Arabidopsis thaliana: one gene and its partner. The protein of the gene in region 1 interacts with the protein of each later gene in a pairwise test. Each region holds a gene or a part of one and is shown in the gene's direction. Other genes may lie near its edges.

What was found.
Region 2: the proteins of RL5 (region 1) and LBD40 interact in a two-hybrid assay, tested with the Arabidopsis thaliana proteins (one large-scale study listed by BioGRID).

The regions. Positions count from the first base shown.
Region 1 is NC_003070.9:6,755,421-6,759,205, reverse strand, and holds RL5 (RAD-like 5), read left to right. Parts: upstream 1-1,785; 5' UTR 1,786-1,915; coding exon 1,916-2,190; intron 2,191-2,695; coding exon 2,696-2,723; 3' UTR 2,724-2,969; downstream 2,970-3,785. Other genes in the region: AT1G19500 (uncharacterized protein), read left to right, coding at 3,670-3,785.
Region 2 is NC_003070.9:25,051,778-25,055,635, forward strand, and holds LBD40 (LOB domain-containing protein 40), read left to right. Parts: upstream 1-1,895; 5' UTR 1,896-2,023; coding exon 2,024-2,213; intron 2,214-2,370; coding exon 2,371-2,882; 3' UTR 2,883-3,087; downstream 3,088-3,858.

The DNA.
Region 1 (3,785 bases):
TTGGTCCAAATATTATTAATTTATAGAGGTTTTACTGTATGTCAAAGTTAGGCGGCGTGAGTGCATTTTTCTAAATAAGTTTGCGTTCTTTCCAAATTGTAACTAGTGTTTCTAAGTCAGAAGTAGATAAAGGTTTCGTATAGTTGCGGTAATCATGGCAATTCTTTGATATAGTAAGCACAAAAATGATACATACAAATATAGTAATATACAATCCACACAAAATAAAATGGTCTAACTAGTAACTAATACTAAAAACTAAAAACAAATTACCTAGTACTTGAGTAAGAATGAGTGATAACAAAGGTGACTACATCAAAAACTCGTGCATCCAATATCCAAACTCGGATCATGTATTATCTATGAAGACTCAATTAGTTGTTCTCAAAAATGTCCTTCACCAAAACATCATAATTCATTCATGTCGGGATTAAATTTGCCATAGTGACCGAAACTATTTCTCTCATAGCTAACAAAAACCTATAGAGAGTAGGATATGGTGAATGGTGTGGTCATCACTCTCACTCTAGTCAATATGGAGTAAAAACCACATAATTTAGATGAGTCGTGTAATCTTCTAACTTATATTGGAAGAGATTGTAGTACGACGTGTCTTAAAACTTTTCACAATAAACGTTATGTGGTGTTTTTGCTGCACCATAGAGGAATGGTGCAAAAAGACATTATTATGCTATGAGACCACACTGAATCTCCAAATTCTTGTATAATTATCAGAATCAATTATACATATATAATTTCTGTTAAGAAAAAGAAATAATGAAACATACACTTTACTATATTTTTGACAAAAAAAACATATAATTTGTTATAACTTATAATTATTAAAATGAATTCATTTTCATAAAACAAGAAAGGATTGGATAAAAATGTACAACTATGAATGAGAATCAATGCAGAGATAGGGATATTGGAATTTTATCCCAAAAGAAGACGATAATATCTCTTATGGTATTATTCTTTTTTCAGCTAAATTTAAGTGGCTCTTATCAAAATGGTTGTCGTCCAAATTTACTTTTCTCCATCACACGGGATAAGTTATTAGAATTAAAACAAAGTGCCCAAGAGTATCGATCCCATCTCCTTCAAATTATTATTATTATTGTATATTAATCGATAATAAGTTAATAACAAATAAAAGTTATGAAAAATCTCTATGAAGTTTAGTACAGGAGATGACATATCGAATCCATTAATTCGATATTAAGGAATTTTCTTTTTCTTTTCATATCAAACGATGATTATATAAAACCATTTTACCAGTTTAACAAAAACTATTTCGTATGTGAATAAACTATCATAATTCATCGTCTTAGCACAACTTTGTACGTACTTACATTATAGCTAAGGTGAATCTGATTCATTGGAGTATAAAAGACGGGATCTTGTTTGTCCACTCTTTTTTTCTATGAATACCAATGTCTTTAACTTTTCTTTTGAGTTTTTAATGATTCCTTTACGTTATTATGTTAAAACCAAAGATGATTCTACTACGTACCCTGCAAGTCATAGGCTCAACAAATAACCATTAAACGCTTAAACCCTATAATTTAAAGAGGTTACTAATTTTAAACTTCATAAGAACACATACGAGCGTTAATTAACGGTTGACTTCTCGACATTCTTCATACAATACGACACTATGCTCTGAAAACCCTTATGGACCTTAAAAAATGTAGACCCATAAAAAGAACTATAATTCTTTATTTTGGTATACAAACTAAAAAAATATTGGATAAACACTACAACTTGCGGAATCTCTCAACTCTCTTTTCCTCCATATAAGGAGCCTATTTTGGCATTCGTTTGTATTCGTAACTTAGTATCGATCCCTTTTCTTTCTCTTTTCTTGTTTCCCTATATATATCTCATATATTCCCAAAAGAATTTAAATAAAATGGCCTCTAGTTCTATGAGCTCGAGCTCTTCTTGGACGTCTAAGCAAAACAAGATGTTCGAGAGGGCTTTAGCCGTTTACGATAAAGACACTCCCGACCGTTGGCAAAACGTGGCTAAAGCAGTTGGAAGTAAATCTGCAGAGGAAGTTAAACGTCACTACGACATCCTCGTTGAAGATCTCATGAACATCGAACAAGACTTAGTACCTTTGCCTAAATACAAAACCGTCGATGTTGGAAGTAAATCTAGAGGCATCGATGATTTTGATTTGAGGTGAAATCTTTTTGTCCTTACCAAATCTTTTAGAGTTTGTGGTCGTTTTTGTGATTTCTATAGTGATTTAGTAGAAACATATGTTTAGTTCAAATAATTTCAAAATCTGATTATATAAATGAGTTCTTTTGGTAGTAGTATATTAAAACTAGTGATGAACGTTGGACTATATAATAATAATAATATAGGTATAATAATAAGAAACATGCAACCACACGCACCATCCCTTCTATTTCCGGCATTCTCATTAAAAGGAAAGGAGTCACATGAAATCTAATCCTGTTTGTGCACCATCACATGCACATTGTCCTCAACTTTTGAATCTTATATGAATGATATAATGTTATATATGTATATATCTAGCTAATTCTATATTATTCGAATACGATTAAATATAACGGTATATATTAATGCAAAAGTGATTCTGATTTTTCACTGGTCGGTGATCAACAAAAGTGGTATCTTAGTGTCAAGTTATATTAATTAATCTATTGTTTTTTGACAGGTTAATGAAGAATATGAGAATCCAGTGAAGTTGTTACATGATGTGAAGATTGCTATATGTCTAAGGATTCAAAGGGATATGTTTTCTTCTTTCTTATACTGATGAGTGTATCATTCCCTTTTCATTGTGTTTCTTATTTGCTCTGTTTAATCTTATTTCACAACAAATCATCTAGCTATTTTGGTTTTGTTTATTTATAATTCTAATCTATTTTTGTCAAATTCTTATTTTTTTAATTTGTCTATGGACGGGGATTTATCATTATACAGTATAGTTGGTTCACATCTATTCCACCTAGTAAAACAACTGATTTCCATTTCGTAATCTCAATTTCCAAAACTTGTTGAAAATGAGAGTATTTTTACCATTAAAAACGTATACATTGTACCATGATTGAAATCCCAAATGCAAAGACTTGAATATTCCCCTGCAAAATCCTCCAACCAATCATCAGCTGGTTAGCATCTCGATCTAGAGCTTTGATAAATATTTTAACAATCACTTTTGTTTATAAAATAAACTAAAGCTTAAACATCACATGTAATTGCATACATTTATAACGTTTTAAATTTCTTAGAGATAAAGCATTTATAATAAAGTTTAAAAGAAACGAATATCACCAATTCACTATATGGACCCAAAAAAAAAATGAAATCGAAAACCATAAAACTGTTGCTTAATTTGGAACTGGCATGAAACTAAAGCCATCTCACGTCGTACTATTTTCGGCGTAACCACTACCAACGTTGGATCGTTCCACCAGTAAATAAAACCAAATTTTAAATCTCCTTCACATATAAATAAGGAACTTCAAATTAAACCAAACGAAACACGAAAAACACGTACGTAAACAAATAGACTTTTGTTTCTTACAAGCTTAAGACAAATTTACGAGCTACCTCTAGTTATTAAATCATTCTTGTTTTTATAAACCAATAAAAGAAGAAGAAGCAAAAAAGTTTGCCGGAGATAGGATGGCGAAAATATCGGTGGCCGTGCTGTTGTCGGTAATGCTACTTGTCTCGATAAACTCGGTGGATATCTTGGCCGAGGAAGAACCAACGGTTGGGCAGAGGGTAGACTCCGCCAT
Region 2 (3,858 bases), about 18 Mb from region 1:
CAATTAAGAGAATTTGTATTTATTTGTTTATTATAAGACGACAATAAGAAAGACGACAAAAAATTTTATTCGTATGCTTATATTTTGTATGCATCTATTTTTCTACCTCTTACCTATGCATTTTTATTTTAATGAATTATCATATCTGTTTGTCAATCACTTCTATAGCAATATGATAATTTGGTTGAAACTGTATTTATCCATACGTCTATCTAAACATGTATATATACCATTTGAATTTTTCAAAAACATAATATATATACATATAGGAATTAGGTTATTGACTTATTGTTTATCTTACAATATGTTAAGTTATTTGATATAGAAAATTATTGTACAACTTTATACAGGTCTTCTAAATTACCTGAAACGACAACAAATTTATTTCATACTAGTATATATCATATAGCATATATAGCTTTCACATTCGTCTGTAACTGGTCTTTCAGAAAAATTGACTCTATAGAGTCTACTAGCTATAGTTATGATTGTTCGCATGATTATATTATTAGTTAAAGTGGAGACAATCGTATTAATCGTGTGATAGCCGGCAGAAGAAAAAATAAATCGTTTTATCCGTTAAAATTATATATATTTTGTTTTACTGTATTTTTCTAGTTTTTAACTAAGTTTTATCTTTATATAAATAATTATAAATGTTTATATAATGTTTGATATACTTAAATAAATATTTTATCTAAACTTTGTTTGCGATTTGACATTTTTAACATTTTTGATAGATATTTATATATTTTCTATAATTTTAATTTTTAACTGTTTCTAAACCTTAATAATAATTAATAGATTGTGTGTGCGTTTTTTTCTTTATTTTATTAAAGAAGTAATAGAAATAATTCAAACATCACCATTCAATGATGGGTGTTTCAATGGAAGAAACTACCAAATCTAACCAATAAACGTTGGCATCTATTCACCTAAAAGTAAAAATTGTAGAGCCTATATTAGTCAAAGTGATCCATGCAGATAATTTATTAGTAGGTCTTTCGATATTAATGTTGATATATACTAGAGCCTATAGAAGTCAAAGTGATTCCATTAAGATAATTTATTAAGTAGGTATTTGGATATTAATATTAATTATCAGAATTATGTATGGAGCTACATAATGTGTAACCGCTCAGAAAACGCGGCGATTCGACCAAACTCTGTTACCACAATGTCTCCGCCACGCGATCACACTTTTGCGCTTGCATGCGAACGTTGAAATTCGAACCTCTCATCTCTCTATTTACCATTTTACCCTCTAGTAATTTCGTTTTCAAAATTTACTATCTCCAAATATTTTGGCAGTCCATTATTAATTGCCGAACATTAAACTGCGGTCTAGACAAAAACAAACGGCGGTCAGATATAAACAACTAACCAAAAAAATAAAATACTTGACTGGTTTTGGACATTTTCGTCGATGATGATCACGCGCTACGAATGAGAGCCAAAGACAAAGCTCAACGGGCTTCCATATATATTTCATATTTATTAGTAACTATTTTCCCCAAAAAAAAAAATATATATTATTAGTAACTACAAACAAACAAACAAAATGTATAAACCATGAAAATTAAAGATTTTAAAATTTTATAACTATACAAATAGTATGAGAAGCTTTGTTTATTTTTATAAACACATAATAACAGTTTGAAAAAATTACTTACCTAAATAAAGGTAATATTCTCGTAATTTACTAAAATAATTCATACAAAATATAAAAACAATTACAAAACTCTTCTTTTTTGGGCTCTTTACATCTTATTTATACTTTGAAAATTACGATATCCATTTAGAGAAAAATATAACATGCACGTCACAAATTTATTTATTTTTTGAAAAAAATTACACACAAAGAAAACGACAACTTCGTTCCTTGTTAATTGTTATGATCTCTCCGACCAAACCCAAGCAGCTTCTCCCTCTTAAATACCTCTTCCTTCTTCTAAGATCTCTGGACCATTCTGTACTTTCCCTCAAACCCAAAACACATTTTGTTTTTTGTTTCCCATCTAAAATGCGTATGAGTTGTAACGGATGTCGAGTTCTACGAAAAGGCTGCAGTGAAAACTGTAGCATAAGACCTTGTCTTCAATGGATCAAATCCGCTGAATCTCAAGCCAACGCCACCGTCTTCCTCGCCAAGTTTTATGGCCGTGCGGGGCTCATGAACCTCCTCAACACCGGTCCTGACCACCTCCGTCCTGGTATTCAAACTTCCCATGCATGTTATGTTTTTTGTTTGTTATGGTTAATTGCGAAGTTCTGGACGGAATCTCTCATACATCTTTTTAGGAAACGTAGGATCCTGTTTATTTTTCTAACATGCATCTAATAATTTGGTAATTTTGTTTGTTTTTGCAGCGATATTTAGATCATTGTTGTACGAAGCATGCGGGAGGATTGTGAATCCGATATACGGATCCGTGGGGTTATTGTGGTCAGGAAACTGGCATCTTTGTCAAGCGGCCGTTGAGGCAGTAATGAGAGGCTCACCCGTGACTCCGATCGCATGCGACGCAGCGGTTACTGGTCAAGCACCTCCTTTTAACAACAAGCTTTGCGACATAAGACACGTGTCAAGCAGGGACGAGAACGTTAAGAGACGGAGCCGTGGTGCATGCAAGGAAGAGAGAAACGTGAGGTCTTTGAGTCATGAGTCGTCACTGAGTCACGAGTCACCGGTGTCTTCTGAGGAGACGACGACGGAGGAACCAAAGACTTGGATCGGGCTTGAGCTGACTTTGGGGTTGGAGCCTTTAGCACGTGGAAATCACGTGGTGGTACCGATGAAGAAAAGAAAGTTAGAGAGGTGTGGCACGTCTGAGGATGAGGACACGTGTAAGATTGAGCTTGGACTGGTGTGCAGTGAGTGAATGGTTCTTTTTTTGTGGCTGGTCTTAATTACAAGTTTTGGTGTTGAGTTTTAGGTGTACAAATAGAGATTAACGAATCTCTCTTTTTTCTCTTTTTGAGTTTTATGTTTTGTTTTGTTTTCTTTTGCATGTTCGGTGTTCTTCATAAATATGTATGATGAATGATAAAGAGGTCTTAACTTAACAAATCTTGGTTCGGATCGACATAACAAACATTTCTTCTTTCCATTCTAAATTCTTGATTTTACTCATGTACTTAAACAAACGATGCAATTGATGTAAACACGTTTATCCCAATAAATTTTGTATTTTATTTATATAAAAAAAAACTTAACAAATCTTCTATTTCAGAAATATCTGGGGTTAGATTACAAAGAATCTAAGTTGCTTAATGATGAAATCTCCATATGATGATTAGTCATTCATTTATAAATATTTTGTCTCAAAAAGCCCTTTTGTATGTGAACCGTGTTACCAAATGACTCAGCAGCTAACATGCATGTGTGTTAGATTTTTGTTCTCGAAGGATATGTGTAGGAACTTAATTAGCTAGAGAAAACGAAAAGGATGAATTATTTTAACTAATTGGGTCGAAATGTGTATTCAGCAGAAAACATAGCCCAACTCTTTCGGACTTGAATCCTGTTTTGTCCATCTATCTTCCCCCCCTATACACTCAATTCTCATACTATCAGATATGCTAAAATAATTAATGCAGTTTCTAGCCTACAGATATTTTGGGCTGTTGTGACTTACTTTTTGATAAATAAGAAGATACTTTTGTTTCCATAAATTTTGATTTCAGAAACTAAAAGTATTATAAGCCAAAAAAATCAATAATATATGTAAAATTATTTGTATGGTGAGTCTGTTTTAATTGTAAAGCTATTCAGTAAAATGCAGTTTGCCAAAGTTAAATCATTAATTAATATATATTTTTTCGGTTAACGGATAAAATATATATTAAACTGCATTT